7 linked regions of the Macaca mulatta genome follow. The protein of the gene in region 4 purifies or fractionates together with the protein of the main gene of each other region. This does not show direct contact. Links are inferred from orthologs where the notes say so. Each region holds a gene or a part of one and is shown on either strand. Other genes may lie near its edges. The genes, in order: DICER1, ILF2, PABPN1, DHX9, HNRNPA2B1, ADAR and HNRNPC.

The links.
Region 1: the proteins of DHX9 (region 4) and DICER1 purify together in Homo sapiens (co-immunoprecipitation; 3 studies listed by BioGRID and IntAct, with this or other methods). This does not show direct contact. The link is inferred for Macaca mulatta from reciprocal best matches to the Homo sapiens genes DHX9 and DICER1.
Region 2: the proteins of DHX9 (region 4) and ILF2 fractionate together in Homo sapiens (co-fractionation; 5 studies listed by BioGRID and IntAct, with this or other methods). This does not show direct contact. The link is inferred for Macaca mulatta from reciprocal best matches to the Homo sapiens genes DHX9 and ILF2.
Region 3: the proteins of DHX9 (region 4) and PABPN1 purify together in Homo sapiens (affinity purification with mass spectrometry; 4 studies listed by BioGRID and IntAct, with this or other methods). This does not show direct contact. The link is inferred for Macaca mulatta from reciprocal best matches to the Homo sapiens genes DHX9 and PABPN1.
Region 5: the proteins of DHX9 (region 4) and HNRNPA2B1 purify together in Homo sapiens (affinity purification with mass spectrometry; 4 studies listed by BioGRID and IntAct, with this or other methods). This does not show direct contact. The link is inferred for Macaca mulatta from reciprocal best matches to the Homo sapiens genes DHX9 and HNRNPA2B1.
Region 6: the proteins of DHX9 (region 4) and ADAR purify together in Homo sapiens (affinity purification with western blotting; 3 studies listed by BioGRID and IntAct, with this or other methods). This does not show direct contact. The link is inferred for Macaca mulatta from reciprocal best matches to the Homo sapiens genes DHX9 and ADAR.
Region 7: the proteins of DHX9 (region 4) and HNRNPC purify together in Homo sapiens (affinity purification with western blotting; 5 studies listed by BioGRID and IntAct, with this or other methods). This does not show direct contact. The link is inferred for Macaca mulatta from reciprocal best matches to the Homo sapiens genes DHX9 and HNRNPC.

Annotation. Positions count from the first base shown.
Region 1 is NC_133412.1:168,387,166-168,390,665, forward strand, and holds part of DICER1 (endoribonuclease Dicer), read right to left. Parts: intron 1,648-3,500; coding exon 759-1,647; intron 1-758. UniProt on the Homo sapiens protein: Double-stranded RNA (dsRNA) endoribonuclease playing a central role in short dsRNA-mediated post-transcriptional gene silencing.
Region 2 is NC_133406.1:113,368,415-113,372,503, reverse strand, and holds the start of ILF2 (interleukin enhancer-binding factor 2), read right to left. Parts: upstream 2,801-4,089; 5' UTR 2,713-2,800; coding exon 2,708-2,712; intron 2,014-2,707; coding exon 1,954-2,013; exon of another isoform or gene 1,922-1,953; intron 1,663-1,921; coding exon 1,620-1,662; intron 427-1,619; exon of another isoform or gene 408-426; coding exon 303-407; intron 1-302. UniProt on the Homo sapiens protein: Chromatin-interacting protein that forms a stable heterodimer with interleukin enhancer-binding factor 3/ILF3 and plays a role in several biological processes including transcription, innate immunity or cell growth.
Region 3 is NC_133412.1:96,420,210-96,424,295, reverse strand, and holds the start of PABPN1 (polyadenylate-binding protein 2), read right to left. Parts: upstream 2,801-4,086; 5' UTR 2,783-2,800; coding exon 2,432-2,782; intron 2,322-2,431; exon of another isoform or gene 2,216-2,321; intron 2,068-2,215; coding exon 1,953-2,067; intron 1,251-1,952; coding exon 1,183-1,250; intron 869-1,182; coding exon 762-868; intron 288-761; coding exon 200-287; intron 115-199; coding exon 1-114.
Region 4 is NC_133406.1:40,346,667-40,349,078, reverse strand, and holds part of DHX9 (ATP-dependent RNA helicase A), read right to left. Parts: intron 2,083-2,412; coding exon 1,853-2,082; intron 1,702-1,852; coding exon 1,586-1,701; intron 707-1,585; coding exon 506-706; intron 1-505. UniProt on the Homo sapiens protein: Multifunctional ATP-dependent nucleic acid helicase that unwinds DNA and RNA in a 3' to 5' direction and that plays important roles in many processes, such as DNA replication, transcriptional activation, post-transcriptional RNA regulation, mRNA translation and RNA-mediated gene silencing.
Region 5 is NC_133408.1:102,187,161-102,191,405, reverse strand, and holds the start of HNRNPA2B1 (heterogeneous nuclear ribonucleoproteins A2/B1), read right to left. Parts: upstream 2,801-4,245; 5' UTR 2,647-2,800; coding exon 2,641-2,646; intron 1-2,640. UniProt on the Homo sapiens protein: Heterogeneous nuclear ribonucleoprotein (hnRNP) that associates with nascent pre-mRNAs, packaging them into hnRNP particles.
Region 6 is NC_133406.1:112,413,048-112,416,547, reverse strand, and holds part of ADAR (double-stranded RNA-specific adenosine deaminase), read right to left. Parts: intron 2,998-3,500; coding exon 2,772-2,997; intron 2,513-2,771; coding exon 2,341-2,512; intron 2,056-2,340; coding exon 1,962-2,055; intron 1,265-1,961; coding exon 1,142-1,264; intron 849-1,141; coding exon 715-848; intron 1-714. UniProt on the Homo sapiens protein: Catalyzes the hydrolytic deamination of adenosine to inosine in double-stranded RNA (dsRNA) referred to as A-to-I RNA editing.
Region 7 is NC_133412.1:94,116,737-94,120,697, forward strand, and holds the start of HNRNPC (heterogeneous nuclear ribonucleoproteins C1/C2), read right to left. Parts: upstream 2,801-3,961; 5' UTR 2,629-2,800; intron 2,000-2,628; exon of another isoform or gene 1,954-1,999; intron 1-1,953. UniProt on the Homo sapiens protein: Binds pre-mRNA and nucleates the assembly of 40S hnRNP particles. Interacts with poly-U tracts in the 3'-UTR or 5'-UTR of mRNA and modulates the stability and the level of translation of bound mRNA molecules. Single HNRNPC tetramers bind 230-240 nucleotides.

The sequences.
Region 1 (3,500 bases), on a different chromosome or scaffold from region 4:
TTTGCTGATCACCTTAACCTACACTGTTTTTATTATACAAACTACAAATTTTATATTTTGCTTTGGTATTCTGAATTCAGGCACTTATACCTCCAATACAGAAATCGAAATGTAAACTTCAGCTGTGTTTCACAACCTGAAGCTGATTTGGGTGTGAGGGGCTTGTTCTCCCTTCTAATCTAATGGGTTGACAGCCTATTAAAGGGGAGGGAAATACAGAGCACAGTGAGAAGTAGAAGATGACAGCAGAGTCACAGCAAGGGCCACGCAACCTTCTTGTGAAATCATTGCTGTTAATCTTTTATTCTATCCATCTTTAAAAAGACCCTAAAGGAGGACTTTTTTTGTCCAAGAAGAACAATAAAAGGCTGTGGAAATACATCCAGAATATACAACTAAATCAAAAACCAAAAGCAGCACTGAATGGGCAAGAGAAAGATACCTGGGGAGGATAAAATGGGGAAACCACATCAAAATACTAAGGTTCAAATTTCTCTAATTAGGCAGCATATAAAATGACACTGATGAGGGTATAATATGATAGCCATACTCCCAACAAACCAAAGTTATAAAGCAATACGTGCTCCCTAAATAATAAAGAAAAGAACTCTTTCTTTTCCTTTTGTTCCCCGCCCCATCCCTTGAATATTAAGCACAAACACTGTACATGCATAGATCACCTTTTACAAGGCCAACACAATGTGATAAACACAAAGTCTCATTTTCCCAGAAATGCAGTTTGGTTGTGGGCTCCTTACCAGTGATAGTATTGTAGTGGTAGGAGGCATGTGTAAAAGCCTGGAGAAGGTAAGCCTTATTCTTGAATCTGTAGTTGATTTTCTTTTCAAAATTTTCAAACCCCGATATAAGGTGATTCAGTGTTTTATCTGCATCTGGATGATCAAACATACATCTTGGTGGAATCTTCAAACAACCATATTCCAAGTCTTTCAATACAGAAGAGCGTGAACTGGCCATAGAAGCAGCAGCACAGCTCACTGAAAGGTTCTTTTGTTGGCTGTTGAAATTCTCCCGAGTAGGGCACAGGGCCTTTTCCCGATCAGTCCTTTTAATTACCGGGAGCACCTTCAGCCCCAGTGAACAGAGGAAAAGCTGAGCAGCCCTCTCCCCACAGCTGGTTAAATAGCAGCCCAGCAGGGCTTCCACACAGTCCGCTATGCTTTTGTCAGCAATACACTGCTCAGTGTGCAAGTCGTAAGAAATGGACTGCTTTCCCGTGTCAACACCACAGTTTTCTTCTGATGGATTCCAGAACCCCACCACAAAGTCATCTTCTTCAACAGCTTTGCTAGGATCCAGATAGCACATTGCATCCCAAGAGCTGTAGTCAAAATCCTCAAAATCTGATGAAAATGGCATACTACCTAAGGAGGATTTTTTGGGCATTTTCCATTCATATGCAGAATCAGTGGTTGAAAAAGGAGAAAGAGAGATTTTCTTTACAAAAGCTCCTGACCCCATTAACATATTATCTATAAATCTGATATGTTCCTGATCATACTCCAGGAAATCATCTTCATAGTCAGCCTCTTCCTTCGGAGCCCTCCACATCAGGCTCTCTTCCTCCTCATCCTCCTCCTCGTAGTCCTCATCCAGTTTACCATTCGCCAGCATGCAGTCTTTTGTCTGAAACGAGGGGGAATGGTGAAGGAGGGGAGACATAGCTGCTGTTTTTAAAAGGGTTTGAAACTCAATAAAAGCAAGGGTTATGGATAATTTCAAATGACAACCACAAATACTAAAAGGCAACTTTAAAATCATGGCCATTTGTTTTCAATTAACATAAAATAAGTTATTTAATCATATAAACAAAGTAAAACATGTTCTTTGAATGTTCGTTTTCTAAGTTATAAAATGACCTTTAATCCAGTATGAAGCTTTAAGTTAAGGATTTTGAACATGGATATTAAGTTAAAATTAATGTCCACAATGCAAAACTTCAACTAAGAAGTCTAACTCCGGTAGGACACACAATGAAAGCACTCATATGCTGATCACACAGATCTTCAATTTTGCTGACAAAATTTGAAAATGTGGTAATTTGATTTTCAAATTAATAAAATGAAATTCCAGATGTAGAAAAGCATTACCTTTGCAATTAAGCATATAATATAAAAACAGATAAAATCAATTTTTAAAATGTACAATAGGATTTTATAATAAAGTTTTTGTCCCTATTTCCACTTCGAAGTATACTTGCCACAAAAAACTACACAGCTTTGCTTAAAAAATAAAAGTGATCACTGCACTAAGCTATGAATTTGAGAAATTATGCTTTTCCCCTCCACTCTGAGCTACAGTAATCAGGGGAACAGATTATAGCATAACTGACAAAAATGGAAGAAAATTTAGACTAACATGAAACACAACAATCCAATTTCTGTCAAAAGATCTTTGCTAATTCCAATTTCTTTGGCAAAAGCTTATTTGTGAGTGACAACCTTAATAATGGGCTAGATTTCAGTAATGATGTAACTTTTTTGCAATCCTAGAAAGATGCCAAATTTCTGTTATGCAAGTTTTTAAAGAACCAAAAAACTTTACTTGTGAGGAGGGAAGGCGAAGAGTGTGCATCAATGTTGACTGTAACAACTTTCCAGAGTGTTCTGACCAAAAAATGTTGTAACCTTCAGGCATTTTTTAAAATACTACAAATATTTCATTTTAAACTAGACTCAAGATATAAACACTATATTTGTCTGAAAATAAATAGCAGTAAGCCGGGCTTTATCTATAACTATCTTTTCACTGTTTTCATTAAGAAAAAAACATCTTTTCAAGAATAAGGAAGAACACCAAAAGCAACTATAGTGGCAGACCTCAAGGAACATTTCCTGCTAAAAACCTTATACTTTCCAAGGCATTATGAAGATGTTTTAGATTACTGTTTGGTCCTTAAGAAAAAAAGGGCCAAACTGCAATTTTTAAAAAATCATACATTTTTTTTTAATTGAAAAAAACTTTCTGTATCTTTAGAAAGGTGCTACCATAAGCCAAAAGTGGCAGAGCACAAAAATCACAAAGGGCTGACTTTTATCACAAACTGTGTGATCCTGGGCAAAGCCTTTTAGTGCCTCTGGGTTTCAGATTCTTCATCTACAAAAGAGTGGGGTTCTACCTCATAAAATGTTTTTCAAGAGCACTTCAAGCCTTTTAAGAAAAAACAGCCACATGAAATCCTTTCCTGTATCATTCAAGTCAACTTTGACACTTTCTTCTATCAAGAGGCGTTTTAGCATGCAAAGGTTTTCACTTAAGCCCATTTGCTGAAGGGCCAGAGCAAGGTAGGGAGAACGGCAATGCAACCAGCCAAAACCACAGAGTATCTTTTCAACATAATGCAAGGGCCTATATTTCAATAAAAATAAGTTACTAAATAAAAATCTGAACAGTATTTCTAATGAATTCCAATAACCAAAGTGTCATCATAAACATTAAGAAAAATAAATTGAACTTTGTGTTGTATCTTAAAAAAAAAA
Region 2 (4,089 bases), about 73 Mb from region 4:
CTAATCCCTTCCATACGAGCTGACTCAATACTGACCTAGGACTTTAAAAACACTTCATTCTGGCCTTGAATATATGGAAAGAGAACAACTCTTTATCCCCAATAAAAATAAGAATGCATATGTAATTTGTTTATATATCCACCTGGCTGTCTCCACCCACAATGAGAAATAAGGAGAACAATTAAACCCTCTGTGGATTTCAGGCTCTGTTAACACCATTCTTAACCTTACCAACAGTTACTCTTTACCAATACTTTTACCTGCTTTAGAGACATTTCTGGAAGACAGCCAAAAGAACATACCTGTTCAGCAGAATTAGGAGCCAGGTCCTGATTCCTCTTCAGCAAGGCCTCACTGAAGGAGGTTTCATCAGGTGCTGGCTTGACCCGGGGGAAGGCCATTTCACACTAAACCAGAAGTAAACAACTACATTCCATTTGCCGAAAATAATATACAGGAGAGATTGTTTTTTCTATTACTACGACAGAAAAAGGTTAAAAATAGAAAATTCTACACTTGTTTTTACTCCTTAATTTGTTCAATTAGCTGGGCATGGTGGCTCACGCCTGTAATCCCAGCTGAGGTGGGAGAATCCCTTGAACACAGGAAGCGAGGCTGCAGTGAGCCAAGATCGTGCCACTGCACTCCAGCCTGGGCAACACAGTAAGACCCTGCCTCAAAAAAAAAAAAAAATTTTGTTCAAAGGCCAGGCATGGTGGGTCACGCCTGTAATCCCGGCACCTTGGGAGGCCGAGGTGGGCAGATCGCTTGAGGTCAGGAGTTCAAGATCAGCCTGGGCAACATGGTGAAACCCCGTCTCTACTAGATACCCAAAAAATAGCTGGGCATGGCGCCTATAATACCAACTACTTGGGAGGCTGAGGCAGGAGAACTGTTTGAACCTGGGAGGCAGAGGTCCTGATTCCTCTGCCTCCCGGGTTCAGTGCAGTGAGCCAAGATTGCACCACTGCACTCCAGCCTGGGTGACGGAGTGAGACTCTGTCTCAAAAAAAAAAAGAAAAAATGTTCAAACAAGGATACAAGCTGGAATAGCCATAATTTAAGCTATCACTATCTTTATAGTAACAAATTAGCCGTAGATACGATTACTTGTTCAGAACAAAGATTATAATCATGTTTAATGCCAACAGTAGTCAAGGAATTATTCTCCCCACCATGCTTACACTGTTTCTGTAGGTAAAGCAACACACAGTTGACTCAAAACCCCAAGTCTTTTCAAAAATCACTTTCCCCCTCACTTCAATCACCATTTTTTTTTTTTTTTTGGTAGTGGTGCCATCTCAGTTCACGCAACCTCCGCCTCCCGGGTTCAAGCGATTCTCCTGCTTCAGCCTCCCAAGTAGCTGGGATTACAGGCACACGCCCAAGCAACTTTTTTATTTTTACTAGAGATGGGGTTTCACCATATTGGCCAGGATGGTCTCAAACTCCTGACATCAGGTGATCCATCCGCCTCGGCCTCCCAAAGTGCTGAGATTACAGGTGTGAGGCACTGTGCCTGCCCTCTTCAACCACTATCTAACTTCATTAACTGGGAGATACTAGGCTCCATTTCAAGAATGGCCAGAAATTGTGTATTATTAACCCAAGGTACTCACCAAATAGAAGTCAAATGGGATATGTGGTACAAAGGGCCTGAACCTAAAACATGAAAAACAGCCAAATTATTCCCTATGTAGGAATCAAGTGAGATTTAAATAACACACCAACAATTTTGAAAACATGTCAGACCTCAGAATGAGTGACAAAGTCTCTGGGGAGGGAGAGAATCATTCTTAGCATAGTGGGGCCAAATTCATTTAGCAGGAGTGCGGAAAAGACCACAGTTGGCTCTCACAAAACCAAGTGACATTAGTCTATTCCAAAACTCCTATTTAGATGACAAGCAGAAACTAACAACTAAGTGCAGAGATGCTAAAAGCTGGCACTCACCCTCCTCCTGGGCCTCCTCTGGAACCAAAGCGCCCACCACGACCACGGCCTCTGTCACCCCTAGAAATGCAGATTTTATTTTGATCTCATTGAAGGAATACCCACCGGCCATATCATTTTAAGTTGGCTACTTTCATCCCTCGGAACCTCCCAACGGTAGGCAAGAGACCCCACTCACACACTCCTCCCCATTCCAAATGGTGCCCAGTTACACCCCCATAACCTCCTCATTCTGGATAAGTTAATCACAACCCCCCATCAAGTAATGATGGGGCTCAGACAGTGAGCCCTACACGAAATAACCCATAATCCTGGGCCACACGAATCCTAATACTTCGGAAGCTAAAGATTGCTCATTTCTTCATTAACGTACACATTTATCGGGCATGTCCTATATGTCAAGCCCTTCGCACTGAGGATGAATGCGGCTCGCTCCAGCATTCTCAGCCCGGATGACGGGGGCGGAGGGAAGGTGGGGAGCTCCTCCGGGGACTTGAGGACACCTCCTCATCGCAACCCTTCAGAGAGAGGTGTCGAACCCGCCTCCCCACTCCTGGGCCCCAACCCCATCCCGGGCCCGTTTCCCCGCCTCTACCGGCCTCACTCTCTCCCACTCTCTTAGACCAGGAGTTCTCAGGTTTTTGGCCAGCTCCCGGATACATGGTCCTTTTAGGTACTCCGACTTCTTTCGACCCACGTTCCCAAAGTTTTCCGTCGAATACCTGAAACCTTTCGACCACTTCGACCCCCTTACCTCATGGCGCCTTAAAACACGAACAATGGAGGCCGCACCAACCGCCCCTTTCCTCTGAGGAGCAGACAACTGAAGAGGAGTCTTGCCGGCGTGTCCCAATAAAACCCGGCGTGATTGGCTCCCGCCTTACCCCATCGCTTATGCCTATTGGCTTACTTTGTCAAACCGGGCTTATGAACCAATAAAAAACGCCTACTGTGTCAGGAACTAGCCAATAAGAACTGGTTCTATAGTAATGACGAATTTTTGATCAGACATTAGGTGGCACTGAAGAAGTCAGGACAACGACTACGTGGTCTTCTATAACAGTTATGAGAACGTTGGCCTTCAGATAGCAGAGTGGCGCAGCGGAAGCGTGCTGGGCCCATAACCCAGAGGTCGATGGATCGAAACCATCCTCTGCTATCGGAATTTTTTCATTGCCCTGTACCGTACACGTAATTTACATTACATTCAGTGAATGAAAATACCTTGCCGATTTTCCTACCCCAAAAACGCAAGCAGTATCAGCCATTTTTGCCACTAGCAGTTGAAGTTGATGGGGAAAAGGGAGTTTAGGCAACCATGAACACTACACGTCTACAAACTCGAAGCAGGAGAAACAGGTTTCAGATAGGAGGAGTATATTGATTGAATTAATGTGGAAAACAGGTGTTCCACCCGCCTCAGCCTCCCAAAGTGCTGGGATTACCGGCCTGAGCCACCGCGCCCGGCTTGGTTACATAAATTCTTTAGTGGTGATTTGTGAGATTTTGGTGCACTCATCACCCGAGCAGTATACACTGAATCCAACTTGTAGACTTTTATCCCTCATCTACCTCCCTTCCATACGTACTTTTTTGATATTTAATTTACTACAGCAGAACGTAAACATCTTAAGTCTAAACGTATTCTGTCCACATAACCACCATCCAGATTTAAATAAATGTTATTAATTTAAAAAAAAAAAAAAAAAAAAAGGGCCGGGTGCGGTGGCTTGTGCTGGCGGGCACTTGTAATTCCAGTTACTCAGGAGGCTGAGGCAGGAGAATCTTGAATCCAGGAGGCGGAGGTTGCAGTGAGTTGAGATGGCGCCACTGCACTCCAGCCTGGGTGATAGAGGGAGACTCCGTCTTAAAAAAAAAAAAAAAAAAAAAAAAAAAAAAAAAAAATCTTGCTTGAGGTTTGTTGAGCTTCTTGAATCAATGGCTTGAGGTTTGTCATCCATTTATATAATTTATTAGCTATTATATCTTCCAGTATTAGTTTTACCTATTATTTCCCTCCTTCCTGAACTCCAAAGACGTATTAGACTTTTCCCCCAGTAATCTCTTTGTCTCTTACCCTCTCTTCTATTATTTTATTTGTACACAGGGTCTCACTCTGTTGCCCAGGCTGGAGAG
Region 3 (4,086 bases), on a different chromosome or scaffold from region 4:
GTAGAATCGAGAGCGGGAACTGTTGTAGTTGGTGGTCCGGGCGCGGTAGCGGGCTCGTGGAAAACCCCGGTCTGTTGTGCTGATGCCTGGTCTGTTGGTTCGTTTTGGGATCACCTGAGTCAGAGATGAACAAATGATAGCCTTAAAGTCAACCCAGAGAGTTTATACAGAACCAGAACAGCAATGGACATAGGCTTACCTTGATTTGCCTTCCTCTAAATAGGGACTCATCTAAGGCCAAGGAAGTCCTCACTGACTCTTTGTCTGAGAACTCTATATACGCAAATCTGAAAAGAATTGTCATTGTATCTCTCTGAGGTTACAAATACCTCACAAGTCAAATTCAACTTGCAGGCATGCTTCTTTTTGGGCTACAATGTGGTTACATTTTTTATTTGTCAAAATTCTTCTAAATGGAAAATTTCATTCAAAATCATTTAAATTTTAAAATTTCCAGCTACTCTTTGAAACTTGTAAAAATAAGACACACAGGGCCTGAATTTCCATATGGCCATAACAGGCCAAGTAGAAGCTGCCCCTCCCCTTCTAGTTTGTGATCCCACCCACACCTAGCCTTCATTTTTGTTATCTGGCCTCTGAAGACATTTAGGTGCAACTCTTGATATATATCAAAATTGATGCCATGATCTTAAATGACACAGATCACCTGTGTTAACAGCAAATAACTTACTGCTCACTATAAAACATAATTTATCTATTTTTGCACTGTAAATTATCTCAACTTACTCCCCTTTACTTACCCTTTGGGATGGCCACTAAATTTGTCACAGAGTATGGTAACACGGTTGACTGATCCACAGCCATGAAAGTGAGCTTCCAGCTCTTCTGCTGTTGCACCATAGTCCACCTGATGAGAGGAGAAAAATTTCACAGGCACCAGGCAAATTCCTGTCTCAACAGGAACCCTCCCTAGCCTTTGGTCTGGGCCATCTATACACCAAAGCACATGAAATCTGGTAATTTGAGGAACTAATCCTTTTGCTTCCAAACCCAGAGCCTTTGCTGATTACTGATCATTCCATTACCTTTAACCTCCTTCCCACACTCCCTCCACACACCCCCAAAACCACACCGATCCCGGAGATGTTCCTTCCAGGACTATTAAATAACTCCCCAAAAGAAGAACTTGCCCCCAACCCCAATCAGAGCCCCAGCACATACATTGCCAACATAGATGGAACGGGCATCAGCCTCCATCTTCTCCTCAATGGACATGATCACTGGGCCAGCTATCAGGAAAAAATAATATTTTTTAAAAACCACACACTTGTTTTTGACCAATATATTGCACTTCCACCACCAGCACTATCCCATTAGCTCAACGAAGGCAAAGATTTTGGTCTGTTCTGTTCTCTGCTGTACCCATAACCTAGAATAGTGCCGAGTCCATAGCAGGTACTCACTAAACATTCGATAAATTGAAAGAATAAACTAATACACACTTACAACAGTATAGGAATCCCTCCTGCCTCCAAATCAAATCCCTAATGAATGGCTTTGGCTGAAATGCTTTTAAGAGTGAGCAAAATTAAGTGGGCTGAGACTCCACATTTCTAGATTAAAGGGGAAACCCCTTGCAGCTTGCTTTCTCTTAGAATCCTAACTAAAGCGTTTCCAATTGGAAGAAAACTATTAGATTTGAAGGTCAAATGCGAGCTTGCAACCTCTACAAAGGATAGACGTAGACTAAGAACAAAGAGCAACACAATTATAACAGGGACAAAGGGAAGCACAAGGCTACCACCACCAAAATATAGGTTCTGCCTCACAAAGGTCAGGCGAACACACAACGGATTATGACCGCGGCACAGTCATAATAGCTCAGACAAGCAGCTCCAGGGTGCCGAGTATCTTACCCCACATTCCCCATCTTCCCCACAACCCTTCCAGCCCGAGAACCCTGGCTCCGCGTGCAACCGCCAGTTACTCACCATTGCCTGGAGGTGGACTCATATTCATCTGCTTCTCTACCTCGTTCTGTAGCTCCTTTAGCTTCTCAGCTTCTTCCTCCATCTCCCTGACTCGAGCTTTGATAGCTTCCAGCTCCTAATATAAGTGGGGAGGGTATGGAAGAGAGCTTAAGAGGAACCAACGCAGGGGCTGTGCCCTGCTCTCGGCCGGAGCGCGGCCTCAGCCACGCTCGGCCATTTCCCTCGCCCCATGCGAGGGTCGTGATAAAAGAAAAGCAAGCTACCCTCTCTAGAACAACACTAGGCACCCGTGACGCCCGAATCAAGCCAGCCGGGCCCCTTGTAGTGATCGCTGACCCATCCCCGGCCCGACCCGGCCCCAGCCACGTTATTCCCCGCCCAACCCCACCCCCCGCCTGCCTCCCGCTCGCCCGAGCTCTGGGCCTCCAGTGACCCGGCCGGCCAGCCGCCGGCCTGCTGGCTCGCCCTCCTTCCCTCACCGGGTCCTCAATGGCGCCGTCCCCCGGGTCACCCTCGACCAGTCCCGGCTCCTCCTCCTCCTCTTGGCTGCCGGGGGCTCCCGAACCAGGCCCAGGGCCCGGAGCTCCCGGGGGGGCGCGGGGCCGGGGCGGCTCCTCTTCGGGCTCGGGCTCCGGCTCGGGCTCCAGCAGCAGCTCCTCAGGCTCCAGTTCCTCAGACTCCAGGCCGTTCCCGTAGTCCCCTGCGCCCCCCGGGGCCCCCTCCCCGGCCTCCCCACCGGCCCCGGGCACAAGATGGCGCCGCCGCCCCGGCCCGGAGCCCCGACCGCCCGCAGCCCCCGCTGCTGCTGCCGCCGCCGCCGCCGCCGCCATCGCCGCTCAGACTGGGGCCCGCCGCCCGGCGATTGGAGAGCTGCGCCGGCCACGCCGAGGACTCATTAGTCAAGCTGCCTGCCCGTCACCACGAGCTAGTACTCCATTGGGGAATATTACTTGGCAATCAAATGAGACCCCACCTCTAAGGCGGGGTACTGTGCCAAATTCTCAAATCCCGGTAGGGGAAATCTGCCTGTCAATCAACACGCGTCCCACCTCCTATCGAGTCCTTAGGTAATAATACCGCCACGCTGTGACGATATTTCTGCTTCTCCCCGGCCTACGGGCGGGCCCGCGAAGTATAGGACGCTCCGTGATTGGCCCTAGCTAGGCGACTGGAAAGGACCAATCTTCCGATCGCCTCACCGCAGTGGCCCAGTCTCAGATGCTGATTGGCTCGCGAGATTCGAAGGAGTGACACTCGTTTCGTGACAGGTGAACCTTGCCCCCGAACGGACTGCCCGGCTTCAAACTTGGAAAACCCGAAGTCACATGACTAGCCAGCCCTTAGGGGGCCGCCATCTTGATACTACTGCTTGCCAGCTAGTGAGCTGTTGGCCGGGTGAGGCCCAAAACAGAGCAGCAGTTTCAGGAAACTTGTATCCTGACCAGGAAGCACTAGTAGATGGGATATTGCTGAAAATGGAGGTTGTGAATGAATCATTCCAGGAGGGAGCTTACTTTCTCCATCCAGGTTATTGGCACCATCATCCACTAGCTCTCCCACACCAGAAAGCAGGGAGAATTCCTCAGTCCAGAGCTACTAATCACGAGTCCTGTCTGTCCCACCCTCTTGTGTAGACCTCCTGCTCCCTAGTTCCAATTTCTTCTCTTCCCAGGACAGCTTCCAATGTCACCCTTCCAATCTGCACCGTTAACAGACTAGCCCCCCTTTGCAGGCGAGGTAAAGCCTCAAAACGGTAAATCACAGCCTTCGACACCCCAGCATGTGGTTACTTTGTGGATGTCTCCTTCCACCCTTCTCGTTCCATTTTGTGTACCTGCACCCAGTCTGTGCCTCTAACATGTAGTTCCCCTTCAACCAAACCACTGCAAACCTCAGCTTCCCCTCATTTCCCAGGACAAGTGGGCCTCTCTCCACAGCGCGCTTCATTGTTTTGTGGTTTCTTAACTAGGTTGTGAGCGCCTTCAAATGAGGGGCCGGATACTATTTATATTCACATCTCCACAGCCTGGCAATATGCCTACCACATAAGGTCCTGTTAGATGTTTGTTGATTGAGCATGCATTGATTGGGGATCTGGGTGCCACCCTTCATTTCAGCCCTCAAGCTCCCAAGA
Region 4 (2,412 bases):
AAAAACTCATGGGCAAAGGAAAAAATTTTAAAACCTGAAGCAAATAAAAATTTTAAGAATTAAGATAAATTTCTCATTTCTTTGCTTTAAGATGTCCATGCTCTTAGTTGTTTAAGATAAACAAAAACACATACACATTGGATAAAGAAGCAATTTAACATCTCATCAATATTTTTTCTTTAGAGATGCCAAAACAGTACCATGGAAAAAGGGCTATCTGGGCTGTGTCACTTCCCTGTCATGTGACCTACTCTGAACTACGTATGTGTATTTGTAAGATCCTTTTCCAACACTACCAATACGCACTGATGCGGTAGACCAATTACTAACAAAGGGACTAACAAAAGTAAATGACATTTTTGTTCTGAGTTTGTTAGATGGAACTAAACTATCTGTATCTAGAATTTTACTTAATAAGGCTTCTATCACTAACTCTAGGAATTCTAGACCTATGAAAGATCTCTCCCCTCTACTTGGTTCAATGAGAAGTTAATATGGTACTCACCGTGTACTGCCAATCATAAGGTTGATACCAGCAGCTGAGGGTCTAGAGATTTGACGGATCATGTTCAGCATACGTTCATTTACAGGGTCCAACTGGCTGATGATAGCAGGTTGTTTGGTTACTTCAACAACAAGAGCCTCCATGGCTGCCCGGAGACCGGTGATACAGGCAGCAGCTTCATGAGATATTTGCAGTTTAATCCTAAAGTGGCGAAAAACATTAAAAGTAAGAGAGGGAGTATATGAAGAAAAAGACCATTATCTCTCAACCTCACACATGGCAAGTTAAAGAATAAATTTAACTTCTTAAGCATTAATATTTTTAAAAACTACTTAAAGTCTATCAAGCCAAATAAAATACAAAAATATATGTAATATATAATAAACAAAAGAAAGTCCGGCAATATGGATCATTCAGACTTATTATTTTTTGAGACACAGTCTTGCTCTGTTGCCCAGGCTGGAGTGCAGTGGCATGATCTTGGCTCACTGCAACCTCTGCCTCCCAGGTTCAAGTGATTCTCCTGCCTCAGCCTCCAGAATAGCTGGGACTACAGGTGTGCACTACCACACTGGGCTAGATTTTTTGTATTTTTAGTAGAGACAGGTTTCACCATGTTGTCCAGGCTGATCTCGAACTTCCTGAGCCCAACTCATCTGCGGCACCCAGCCAGATCATCCAGACTTTAAAAGAATGAATTAAGAGACCCAGAATGCTGGCATTTTCTAGGTTTTCAAGAATATGATGGCTGAGCCTACTGGCTATCCATTAAGCTCTATTCCATTTTTGCCCAGTGCTTGCCACTAGTTTTGAATCAATATAGAGAGTATGTGAAAGTGTATTCAAGTTTCACTTAGATTGATTCCATAGTGGTGTGCATAGTGGTTAGACATGGCTCAAATTTCTAATGCATCTGCTTCTACTGGTATCCGTTTAAGTATATACTATGCAATTAAGTTAGATATAATTAGTATATATTTAAGTTATAATTAGTATATAATTAAGTTAGATTAGCAGCTGAATTCCATCATATTATAATTCTAAGAATTCAGTTTGGAGTTCACAGCGGAAAATCCATACCAGTCATCTACAAGCACGATCTGCCCATCAGATTGGACTTTCTTGGAGGCAAACAGAAGCAACTGCAGGGGGGTGACTAAAGTCATGCCTTTAGCAGAGATGGCTCGAGTTCGAATCTGCAAATGGAGAAAGAGACAGTACAAAATGGTTGACATTCCAACTTCCAAATACCGCCACATACTGTGCTTTGAAAATCAAAATTCATATTCCTAATGATTGTGAAGACAATTTCAACTTTCAATGTTAACTTTTGTAGTCTTTTCTTACCTTTTCACCAAATACAAAGAAGGGAGATGGGTACTTCATGTCTTGGCTACTAAAAGGACAATTAACAGATGATTTATGGATAAGTGCATTACGTCCTTCAGTGGTGAGAATCTTTCTCTTTTCCTTATGATAGCATACATTGGGGTACACACCAAAGGCCAGGAGGGAGATAACAACATCCAAATTATTATCTGGTCCAGTGTTAGTAAACACTTGTGTCAACAAACAATCTGTTAAGAGGAGCAGAGTGAAAAGAAAAATCAGATAATTGGCTGATCTTCACATTACATGCAAACTATTCAAGAAAATTCAGAGAACTGACTCTTCCTCTCTTCACATAACCTGTCTGTAAAACTTTCTCATCTGCTACTCTTCAATAGTTGTTAGTTGTAGAGAAGATGGAATGATAATCTAAGAGGACACCTACTGGAATGAAGGCTGACGTTTTTACCCAGTCTACACTTTATGAGTACTTAGCTACTGACTGGAAAGCATGACAGTCAACCGCTGAAAGCACAGACATATTTTGTTCTAGACAAACGAGTTCTAGCCTTATAACC
Region 5 (4,245 bases), on a different chromosome or scaffold from region 4:
TCAAAGTCATTAATGCTTGATCTAAATTTACTCAACATTAAATTATCTTAAACAAATGTATTATTACTTAATTTAAAAAATTTCTAAGGAGAAATGAACAAATGTAGACCGTGGTTATCAAAAGATTACTAAATCTTTACCAAAAATTTCAACCCTATAACCTAAAAACCCAGATTTCTATTTATAAACATCAGAAAATAACTTTTGGTTCGATGGTTATGACCCAAAGTTTTTATTTCACGATTCAGTAACATTTTCCCTTAACTGCCCCCTCTGGTGGTGATTCTAAGTATATTAGCCAAAAAAAAACTTTTTAAAATACTGTTTCTCCCTATGACTCTGACAAAAATATTTAAAATCATGATATGCATTAGCAATAACCTTAAAAATTACTTAAAACCAGGACAAATTCATTTTTATGACCAGCAGCACTCAAATCTTAAAAGTTTTAACAGGTTTTTGGTGGACACTGTCTATACAGGATATGACAATACAGAATATGAATTACTCAGCTTAACCTTATGTACAATAAAATACATTCACCTGGCATAATCTCTAAGCTAACTATTACTGAAAGCTGAAGCTTACTGAACTTGATTGGCCATGTGGCAAGCGACACGGCACGAAACAATTTTCTAACTCAATAGGAAAAACCTCAGAGTTGAAATCTTTAATACCTGCAAACAAGCAAATATGTCGTATTATACAACCCTGTATTTTGGGCAGTTAAGAATGTTAAGTAAACCTGTCTTAAAAGGTAACTACGTTAAAAAAAAAAAAATTAAACGAGAGGAAGTGATATCCAGGACCAACTACTACGAATGCATAATGCACACTAAAAAGTCACAAGTAATTTTGAATGAAGAATTATTTTTTGTTCCTAGCAAGAAGAATTGCTGCTCTCAGCCCAGTTCTACAGAGCTCTCTCCCTCCATTCACATGCTCCCAACTGCTAAAAAAAAAATAGTGGTAAATGCCAGTTCGGATTTTTTCCTGTAATTGTTTTCAGGACTGGTAAAAATTAAAAAAAAAAAAACATTAACCGAAATGATTAAACTACTTCCTATGAGACACAACGCAGTCTTGAAATGGTTACTTGCCAAAATAGATATTTTCATTTTCTCAATTAGTTTTTTCTTAATTGTCGTCAGCACATAGGTGTCTCTAAACTGAAATTACCGATAATGTACATTTATAACAAGTCTTACAGATCACTAACAAAAAGCAAAAACTCATTACTTACCTCACAATTTTTCCAAACTTACCCGATGTCCACTATCGATTTTAAACAATGTTATTTTATAAACGTGCTTAGGGTCAAAGAAAATAACCAGGTAGACCCCCTTCGCTTGAGACCTTATGCTTATCAATGTAATGTTCAACCAAGATTGCAAACATAAATGAGAAAAGTAACAAAGTTCAAATACAGAGCGGCCCAGGCCCAAAACAATTTTGCACAAAAATACACACGCATTACAGGAAAGAGCCTCTGAAGCCATGTTTTAACCGAAGTACAACTAAGGATAAAATCGTGATTTCGCTTTCCTCGTAATTTCTAACTAATCATCTATAATGATCCATGGAACTGTCCCGTAAGGATTAAACTTCTCAGGAAAAACATTACTTAAAATACGAGTCGGCTTTACAACTTAAGCGGAATCCTTAAGAACAGTAAAGGCTTCTGACGCGAATATCCCTCCCCCGCCCAGAAAACCATCCTCGTCCCTGCCCCTCGTGGCCGATGGCTTCCAAAGTGTTTATTTTTGCTGCTGTTCATCTGCCGTTTTAGTGACTGCAGACCCAAATATATCCGTTACTCAAATAAATTTAAAAAACAGGAAAACTACAAAACGGTTTCTTTGTCCTATGGCTCGCATTAAACCCGGCCCGACGCCCTGGGTGGTGGTATCTTCTCTGAAACCGGGCCCGCAAACCCGGAGCACCCCCCCGCCCGCTCTTCGGTGTGGCTTCCGAACGCAATGGCGCCATTTCATCGAGGGGAAGGCTGAGCGCCTTTAATGAGGTGCGCAGGACTCTAAAGATCCAAGCTCACAAAACACTCCAAATCCACCTCGAAACGATATGAAAAGAGCCCGAGAAGAAAGAAAAATAGTTAACCACTTCTATGCCTTGACAGAGAAAGCACACTAAAAGAATAAGAGAATTAAAAGAAAAACGCTGAGAGGAAGGCGAGCCATGAAAATGGCGGCCGCCAAATCCGGTTCCCGGGAGAGAGGGGGAGGGGAAGCTCCGCAGCCTCGCTCACGGGGACCCGCTGCCCGCCGCAACACTCGCCGCGGAGACGCCGTGGCCCCCGAAGCACCGTGCTTTAAAAAGGGAATAAGAATTCCCGCCTCCGCGCCCCACTTTCACTCCAGCGGGGCAGCGTCCGCCATGTGAAAGCTCCCCATCCCCCACCCCCAGTGAAGGGAAATGGCGCCGGGAGGCCGAGGGTGGGGAAGCTTGTTTGTACGCTCAGGCCTCCGGTCAAGACCCCGTTCATAAACCTCAAGCCCCACTGCTACTGAAGCGGTCCGATTTCCTGCCGCTCTCCCACGGAGGCGGCCGGCCGACTTCCACAAGGGGGCCAACGGCCTCGCCATGCCCTTTCCAATAACTCATTGATTTCAAACCCGTTACCTCCATCGCGGACTCAGTCGCTTCAGCCCGATTTCCCGCAGCCGAGCGAGATGAGAGAGATCTCCGCGGACGAACACGAACCGGACTCGTCCTGGCGCTGTAGTGAGAACTGCCGCTGCTCGAGAAACAACACCGCTAGGAGTACCTCCGCACGGGACCCGGCGCTGCTGCTACTGCCGCTAGAGCCGCTGCCGCCGCTTTTCTAGAACCTTCCCCCCCACTAACGCGTCTTCCTCTACGTCAGGCCGTTGCGTAAACGCCCTAACCGCCGCCAATGGCGGGAAGGCTCTACGCCCCTCCTTACGCCAAATGCGTACTCCTCCCCCTCCTGTGGCCAGCGACAGTGCCCGACGCTACTTCCGTAAATGCGCTCAGTGAATTGCGGAAGGCTCGAGTCCCGCGAGTTACTACCTCTCGGAATAGGGTCCCGCCCCCCGCCTTGGCGCAAGGCAGGTGAGAAACGGTCGCGCAGTTTGAAATTAACGCTGACGGGAGGAGCTTAATCCGGAGCCCGGAGTTCCAGCCCTCTCAACCTGGGAGGTGGTCCCTGCAGCTACGCCTTTGATAACCCCCGCCAGAAAAATCGTAGTATAATATGAGCCTTCCCTTTTCGTTCTCCGTGTCCCAACTCGGCGGATTGACTCGGCCCCTTCCGGAAACACCCGAATCAACTTCTAGTCAAATTATCGTTCACGCCACACTGACCTAACCCTGACCCGCGTCTATGCAGCTGACCCCTGGGGTACAGGAGGGGTCTCTGCTGAAAGTGGTCCCAAAGGGGTACTAGTTTTTAAGCTCCCAACTCTCTCTCCCCAAGCGTTTGGAGGATTCCGCACCCTCGCACCGCAGGGGCGAGGAAGTGGGCGGAGTCCGGTTTTGGCGCCAGCACTGAGGCTGCAAAGCAGAAAAGCCACCGCTGAGGAGACTCCGGTTACCGTCCTCGCCCCTCCTCCCCCCTCCCTCCCCTTGGGGACCACCAGGCGCCACGGGGCGAACGGTAAGTGCCGCGGTCTTCGCAGCCGCCCTCCCCCTAGGGCCCCAATTCCCAGCGGGTGCGGCGCGCGGCCCCTCCCCCCCGCCGGGCGCGCGCCCGCTGCCCCGCCCTTCGTGGCCGCCCGGCGTGGGCGGTGCCACCCCTCCCCCCCCCCCGGCGGCCCCGCGCACAGCTCCCGGCTCCCTCCCCCCTCGGATGTGGCTCGAGCTGTAGGCGCGCAAGGCCGGAGACGCTGCAGACCCGCGACCCGGAGCAGCTCAGAGGCGGTGAAGTCGGTGGTTTTCCTTCTCTCTAGCCCTCGCTCGGTGGTGGTGCATCAGATGCTGCACGCGCCCCGGGGGCCCGGTTCTCCGCTCCCCTCCCTTCCTTGCCGGACACCGCGCCGGGAGCTGCGGGAAGGAGTGGAGAGGGTCGGGCGGTGGCCTCGCGGCTGACCTGGCTCGGGGCCGGCGCCGGCAGTTAGTGGGGGGACTGTTCGGTCCTCGAGGGGGTAGGGAGCTGTGGCGACGGTCGCCCTATTTCGAGACAAAGCGCATTTTCCCTCCCCTCCCCCACCAGCGTTCCGGCGGAGGCGCCCCCTCCCCCAGCCGCCACGCGGGGCTGGGTCGAGA
Region 6 (3,500 bases), about 72 Mb from region 4:
TGGGTTGTTTCCACTTTTTTGGCTCTTGTGAGTAACGCTGCCATGAACATTCACATATTAGTTTCCGCGTGGACACAGGTCTCCATCTCTCTGGAGCATCCACCTAGGAGTGGAGCACTGGCTCCATGTAACTGTGTCTATACTTTAGGGTATTCAGCAGGGTTTCAGGGCCACCATGATGACTGCTGACGTGGCCTGAACGCAACGGAGTGGATGTGAGGAGACAGTAAGGAGACAGGAGAGGACAGGAGAGAAGGAGCCAGTGGACAATGCAGAGTCAACTGCCAGCTAGACAGGAGGGACCCGGGCACTTGGCATCCTCATCTGTCACCTCCTTAGGGCTTGGTTGTGCCGCACTCTTCATTTCCTGCCCCCTTTCTCGAGGCGATCCTATGCATTCCCGTGGCCGTGAAGACCCTATAGGGGGATGACTCCCATATTTCTATTTCCAGCCAAGCTCCCTCCTCTAAGCTTCACATGGGAACCCCCACTTCCTATTTGACTTGGGGATCTCCAAGGTCTCCCAAACTAACACATTCAAAATAGAACCTTGATCTTACCACACAGCTCCCCACCCAGGTCTTCCCTTTCCTGTAAACAGCACCTCTGTGCCCGGTGACTACTGGTAAAATCCTAACGGCCTTGCAGAGACTTGGGGGCCCGGGGTCTTGCAGAGCCTTTTGCAAAAAGGAGGCGGGGGCATGTATCACTCACCGTTTTCCACCTTGGTGCGGAGCTTGCCTTGTTTGGGATTCTCAAAGACAGGGTAGTGGCGGGAGTCTGTGCTTTCCATAGCACGGTCGCTGCAGGACTTGTCAAAGAGGGCACCATCTCCACATGGAGCGGTGCTGAAAAACAGGAGTGGCTGTTAAAACTCACCTGTGGGAAATCTGCAGTTTCATGGGGCTCCAAAACAACTAGATGTGACAGAAGCAATGGACGTTTTCTAAGGCCTACCATGGGAGACTGGAGGTGGACAGCAGTATACGTGAGTCATTCTACACCTGAATATGGACCTCAAACCCACGGTGGAGTGTGGCTTATTGTATGAGGTCCGATTTACAGGCCAAGAGAGCATTCGGATACCCAATTCTAACAGCCTGGCAGGGCCCACCCTGGCAGCAACAAGAACTGTACAGACCTGATATAGAGATGGAATGACACAGTCTTTTTTATTTGGAGCTTTTCTCCTCCCTTAGCAGGTTCAAATATACTATCCTTCGCAGTCTGGGGGTTGTATTTCATTAACTCACTGTAGAGAAACCTACAAAAACAAAGTCTGGTTAGGAAGGCAGGTTCAATTCTGGGAAAAACAGTTGCTTCTATAATCTGACCTCCAAATGAGCAAGTAAGGAAAAGCCTCAATGTTGCAGACCTTTCACAGTTTCTCAGGTGGAAATTCTCCAGGGGAGACCCCAGCATTTCATAAAGCATAGTTAGCCTTTTGGGTCTCCTTCATTTCTGCTGAGGGCTCCTCGCTATGGCAGCTACAGGGATTCTAGGGCAGAGTAAACTGATTCAAGGACTACAGGAAGCTGTTGCTCCTTTCCAAGTCTCTCCCTTCATAAATTAAAGAAAAGGTGACTTAGAGGAGAAAGCTGGCAGGGGCATCAAGGTTGTGTAGGTCCTCAAATAGAAATGGAAAGCTGCCTCATCCCCAAGGCCCTGAGGACTAAAAGGTCATTTTGTGTTTTCCGAAAAGGACACGAAGCAGCAGAGTTGGCAGAACAAAGGACAGCATTTAAAACCACGCGGAGTAGTGGGAGGCAGCTCAGGTCACAGAGGGGATGGATTCCACCAGACAGGTTCAAATGGACGGGTGAAAAGCAAAGGCTGCCACTGCCACATCATGACCCGTCTGTCAGAGGGGGATTCAGAGAGGCCATGTCAGAGCCACGTGCGACAGGGAACTGGAGCTCTCCAGAGCCGGGCAACCAGGCCCCAGCTCTGATCTCGCTCACCTGATGAAGCCTCTCCGGGAGATGATTTCTGCATGGCAGTCATTGACAGTTTCTCCCTTCAGGCTGAGAGAATCTCCTTTCACACAGCGATTCCCTAGGAAGGTGTTTAAAACAGAAATAGAATAATGGAAGGAAACTGATGACAAACAGGATGATGGCTATTTGTTCTGAAAGCTTCAAGGCAGAAACAGCCTCAACTTCTCAGATCCTAGACTCCCATATTCTCTCCTCTAGGAACTAACTCATTCCTCACTCTGAATTGACTGCAGCTAAAATGAAGTCCCTTCTCCCTGCCTTGGACTTGCATGGACTCCAGGGGAGGATGAGAGGGACCCGCTTTCAGGCGCCACAGGAGGCGGCATGACTCAGCCTCACTCACCTGTTCCCAAGCTGACGACGACACCCATGTCCTCAGAGTCTTTTTTCATAACGATGGCGGCCAGAATCTTGCGGCCGAGCAAGGAAGGCTGGAAGCTGTTAGTCAGAGTGTTGAAGCACCGGTGGCTCAGCATGGCTATCTGGTCATGGAAGGTGCTGCCAGTGAGAGGGAGCTGTGGGGAAAGGAGGCTGTGTCAGCACCACAAAGCTGAGGCTGCGTCCACCATATTCACCATGGCAGGGAGATCAAGCTCTACTTGTCGTGTGAGTCATCTTTTCCTTCTTATATCTAGTGTCCCAGTTATATGCTCTCTTGAGGCTAAAAGTAAAGCCTAGGAATAACTCGCATGACAGCAAGAGCCACCTCCACTTAGAGAGAAGTTAGGAGGACCCCCCACCCCAAAAAAAGGCACCAAAAGTAGACGTCTTAACTGTCTTTGGCTGTGCTTCTGGGGACCTTGAGAGGAGGAGCATAGTTCTTCTGAGACTGGCCCCTGTCACTGGGGTTACCTCTGTGAAACCCATGCGTTCTGCCTTCTCGTTCTCCCCAATCAAGACACGGAGAGCCGCATCTGCTGCTTCCTGCTTGCCTTGCTTCTTGCTGTGTGCGCAGACGGCTGGGAACCAGCGACCCCCAACTTTTGCTTGGTAAACGAACCTTTGGGATGAGAAGCAGAGAATGAAGACAAGCGCCAGATCCTGACAGTTGTTCCAAGGAAGGGTTAGTTTTGCTGAAGATGTGGCCGGTCTTGCAAACATATGGACCTGTCAAACAGAAGCTGTTTCTAAGGCAGCATGTCCTAGATTTTGGTCATTCATGAATCGCCACATGATTTGTGCCAGATCCAGGTATCACTTGGACTATTACTTAATATTTTTCTCTAAATTGACTTCTTAGAGTCAGCCACTGTGGCTCACACCTGTAATCCCAGCAACCTGAGGAGCTAAGGTGGGAGATCACTTGAGGCCAGGAGTTCAAAACCAGCCTGGGCAACGTAGTAATCCCCCAGGCAACATAGCAAGACTCCTGTTTCTTTAAAAAAGAAAAAAAAATTTAGCTGGGCATGGTGGTGTGTGCCTGTAGTCTCAGCTACTCGGGAGGCTGGGGTGAGAGGATCACCTGAGCCCTGGAGGTCAAGGCTGCAGTGAGCTATGATCCTA
Region 7 (3,961 bases), on a different chromosome or scaffold from region 4:
AAATGTAGTATACACAAAACCAAAAGCTTCCCATTTCCAATGAGAATACAAGAATATGCATATTAAGAGCAAATAATGCTCCCCAGAGACAACTACTAATTATTTGAAGACTGAAATAATGTGGTTAAGAATAGTAGTAACTACTACTAATTTAGAAAACTGGGGCCGGGTGCCGTGGCTCACACCTGCGTAATACCAGCATTTTGGGAGGCGGAGGCACGAGGATTGCCTGATCTCAGAAGTGAGACCAGCCTGACCAACACGGTGAAACCCCGTCTCTACTAAAAATATAAAAATCAGCCCGGCGTGGTGGCGCACGCCTGTAATCCCAGCTACTTGGGAAGCTGAGGCAGGAGAATCGCTCAAACCCGGGAGGCAGAGGCTGCAGTGAACCGAGATTGTGCCACTGCACTCCAGCCTGGGGCAACAGTGAGACTCCGTCTCAAAAAAAAAAAAAAAAAAAAAACTGCTTTAAAAAGACTGCATCTGTACAGTTTTTAGTCTTCTGGCAACGAAAAATTTGAATTAGAAACTAAAAATTCAAATAAGTTAAAAAAAAAAAAGTCTAAGTCCTCTTATTTAAGCAAGGAGGATTAAAATCTATTTCTCCTCCTAGGCAAACTTACTCCCTATTCAACACCTCACATTCAACACTTAATATTAAGTTTTAATAATTTGCCCCTTAGTCTTTAAAATTAGAGCAACTAGCTATTTGAGTTTATTCTTTGTGTCGCACTGCCATTCCATCCAAAACAAGGTCGAATGCCATGTCAAATCCTCTAAGAGATTTAATTACAAACGTAAGCTGTTTAAATTCTCCACAGAAGGAACATCAACTACCAAGTATTCCCAAGAGTGGCACACGAATGGGGGGAAAAAAAGGTCAGAAAACCTGCAACCTGGCCATCCTTCAACTTTTCCCCCTAGCCAATACGCTAGCCAATACGAAAATGTTACTAAATGCCTATCCAGTTGAGAACACACCTGGAATTGTGATATAAATGCCGTGGCAAACAGTTCTTGATATTAAAGAATTTTTGGTACGCTGATATACATACTGATCTGATATACATACTGATCGGAAGGAACCCGTATTTCTAACACCTCAAAGGCAAAGAAAAGTGCCTGTCAATCAATTTCAGCTATTATCAACTGTTCTTAAATACTAACTTCTGACATTTCTCATTGCCAACATTTTTACTACATGATTTCCCCATTAATCTATTTTTGCCTTTACCTCATTTCTAACAGTTTAGCACGATGATAAACTTTAGTTTTAAGTTCCTGTAATAATATATTTAAACTTAAAGGGGTCGCGATGTTTTTGACCCTTATTTTACTTCCTATCAAATAGGTTGCCTTACAGATAAATTTCTTACCCGGCAGAATTGGTTTAAACTGTGCTTAACAGCTTTAGTTTTTGTGAAATTAACAGATTGTAAAAAATAACCAAATCTCATGTGAGGATTTAAAAAACCGATTTCCCAGATAAGTGAACGTGACACTAAAGATCTGTAACTTTAACTTACAAGTTTTTTATCAAATTTCAGCACCGAGCAAATAACAGCACTGTTAATATTTGCTTAATAAAATGTAGCTGTGAATTTTTGCCCAAGTTTAGGTGGACGGGAAAATTAACATCAGAATAACCCGAAAGTCAAATTTTGTCATCTTACACTTAGGAAGTTACGTTAACAACAAATTCTCAAGTCTCGTAGTATTTTTCTTAAGCGCAATTTGGGAATTTCCAGTTACCTCGTGGTTTCCGTCATCAGGTTCTTGCAAAGATTCAAATATTGTACTTTTAGAACCCGGTATTCCATTAACCAGGTAAAAACCACTCGACTGACCTCGTGGTCAAATTCCTTAGTAGTTCTGCTACTGACTTAATTATGACCCTAGCAATCAACACTTTGCCTCAGTTTCTGTCTGAGAAAGAGAGTTAATACCTACCTCAAGCAAAGTTCCACTAACTTATATATTTCAAGTGTTTTGTAACCTGCAGATGAAAAGTCAGCTGTAATTATTAATATAGTTATACACAATATTTCCTTTTACAAACGTAAGTGAAAATAACTACTTCGAGCTCCATTATTTGCTCATAGAGAGGAATAAAATAAAAAGTTATCAGTAAAATGCTAAATCTTTTGTTAAACCTTTCTCATAGGCCACGCGGCACGATCCAGGATTTAAAGGCTCGCGATACATCTACTTGGTAACCTTCCCCCTCCCCCTCCCCCAATTTTTACATGTAAGAAGAACCGAGGTAATAGAAGGCATCGGCGCTATGTTAACTTCGACTATATTAATGAACATCGCGATCTTCATTTTCAGGATCCCGGAGTCCTCGCGGTCGTAGAAAATGAAAGGAAAGCAGCCGTTAACACAGGAAGAGCGAAAAAAGGGCATTTTCCCTGGCGATCGTGGCCCAGAGGACACCAGGTTAAACCTACGCAGAGGCTGAGGCCTGTAAAACCGCCTCCCGCTTCAGACCTAATCCCCCAAAACAAACAGAATAAATGAGGGCCCGGTTAGTTAGGGGGAAGGGTTCCCTCATATTCTCTCCCACACCCCCTCTAGCTTCCCAAAAAACCCAGCGCCTTCCCTGCGTCCGCCCTCTCCACTTACCAGGAGGGGGGAGGGAGAAGAGATTCGATTCTGAGTCTCCTACTCCCGGATTCGGCGTGAAGAAACCGACTGCAGGTCGAGGTCGGCAGCGCGGCCACAACCGCTCAGTCTTCGTCTCTTCACAAAATGGCCCCCGAGTCTCCTCTGCCGCCGAGGCGAAGGCCTAGTCCCCGCCCCATCCCTAAGAATCTTCCTATTGGCTGTGTGTTTTTTCGCTCCCGCTCCTAATTAGACAGTTCAACCGCTTCTCACAATGATATCCAGTCACAATTGGCAGTGGGTTAGACTAAGCAGAAGAATTTCCACATGCGTGAGAGAAACTAGTTTGTAACTGGTTAATTTTCCTGTCATTTATCGTCTGGGGAATGTTTATTGGCTATTGCACCGGACGACCCTCTGGGTGGAAACTCGCCTTTGTATCGCGCACCGTCTCACATCCGGGTATCTGGAAGGCCTGATTGGCGGCCGCGGTGTCCTATCGCTGCTCCTTAGAGTGCCTAGTAAAAGGTTCGCTCAGACCTCGGATTTCCGGCGGCGCGGGGGCGGGGAAGGGCTTGAGGGGCGTTGTTAGGTGACGGGCGCAAAGGACTTGCCCTAGCCCCGGGCCTAGGAGAAAAAAAGCGCGAAATGAAGCCTCCGGCGTGCAATATGAATAAAGAAAGAACTTTACTTAAAATGAGGAGGGAGCAGCGGTGACTAGGCCGTGTTAAAGTGTGTAGAAAACTAACCAGCCCTGCCGTTTTTCCAACCCGAGAGCCTTTCTCAGGTCCAGATTCGAATGTCAGCTACCTCGTAGACATCTCTGCTTCTCAGCCTATTAAACCCTTCTTCAGACAACACATATTCCATCCAAACCAACTGACTTCCTTATTCCTCTCCAATATGAAAAGTAAATGAAGTGCAAAATCCCGGCCTCTGGCCCAAGTCATCTCACTAATATCTTAAGTGCCAGTAAAATTGGCCCATCCCTCCGAATCTGCTCCCTTAATTTCCCTCCTCTTAAAATGGCTTGTCTCCTACGTACCCCCGTCACCTGCCAGTCCTTCTGGTTACATTATAGGAACTGCGCACACAGTGGATTAGCATCAGCTCTACTAAGGGAGCCATTTCTTTTTTTTTTTTTTTTCTTTTTTCTTTTCTTTTCTTTTTTTTTTTTGAGGCAGAGTCACTGTCGCCCAGGCTGGAGTGCAACTGCCTCCAGTTGAGGTTGATTGGCGGCCGCGGTGTCCTATCGCTGCTCCTTTTTTTTTTTTTTTTTTTTTTTTTTTTTGAGACGGAGTCTCGCTCTGTCACCCAGGCTGGAGTGCTGTGGCCGGATCTCAGCTCACTGCAA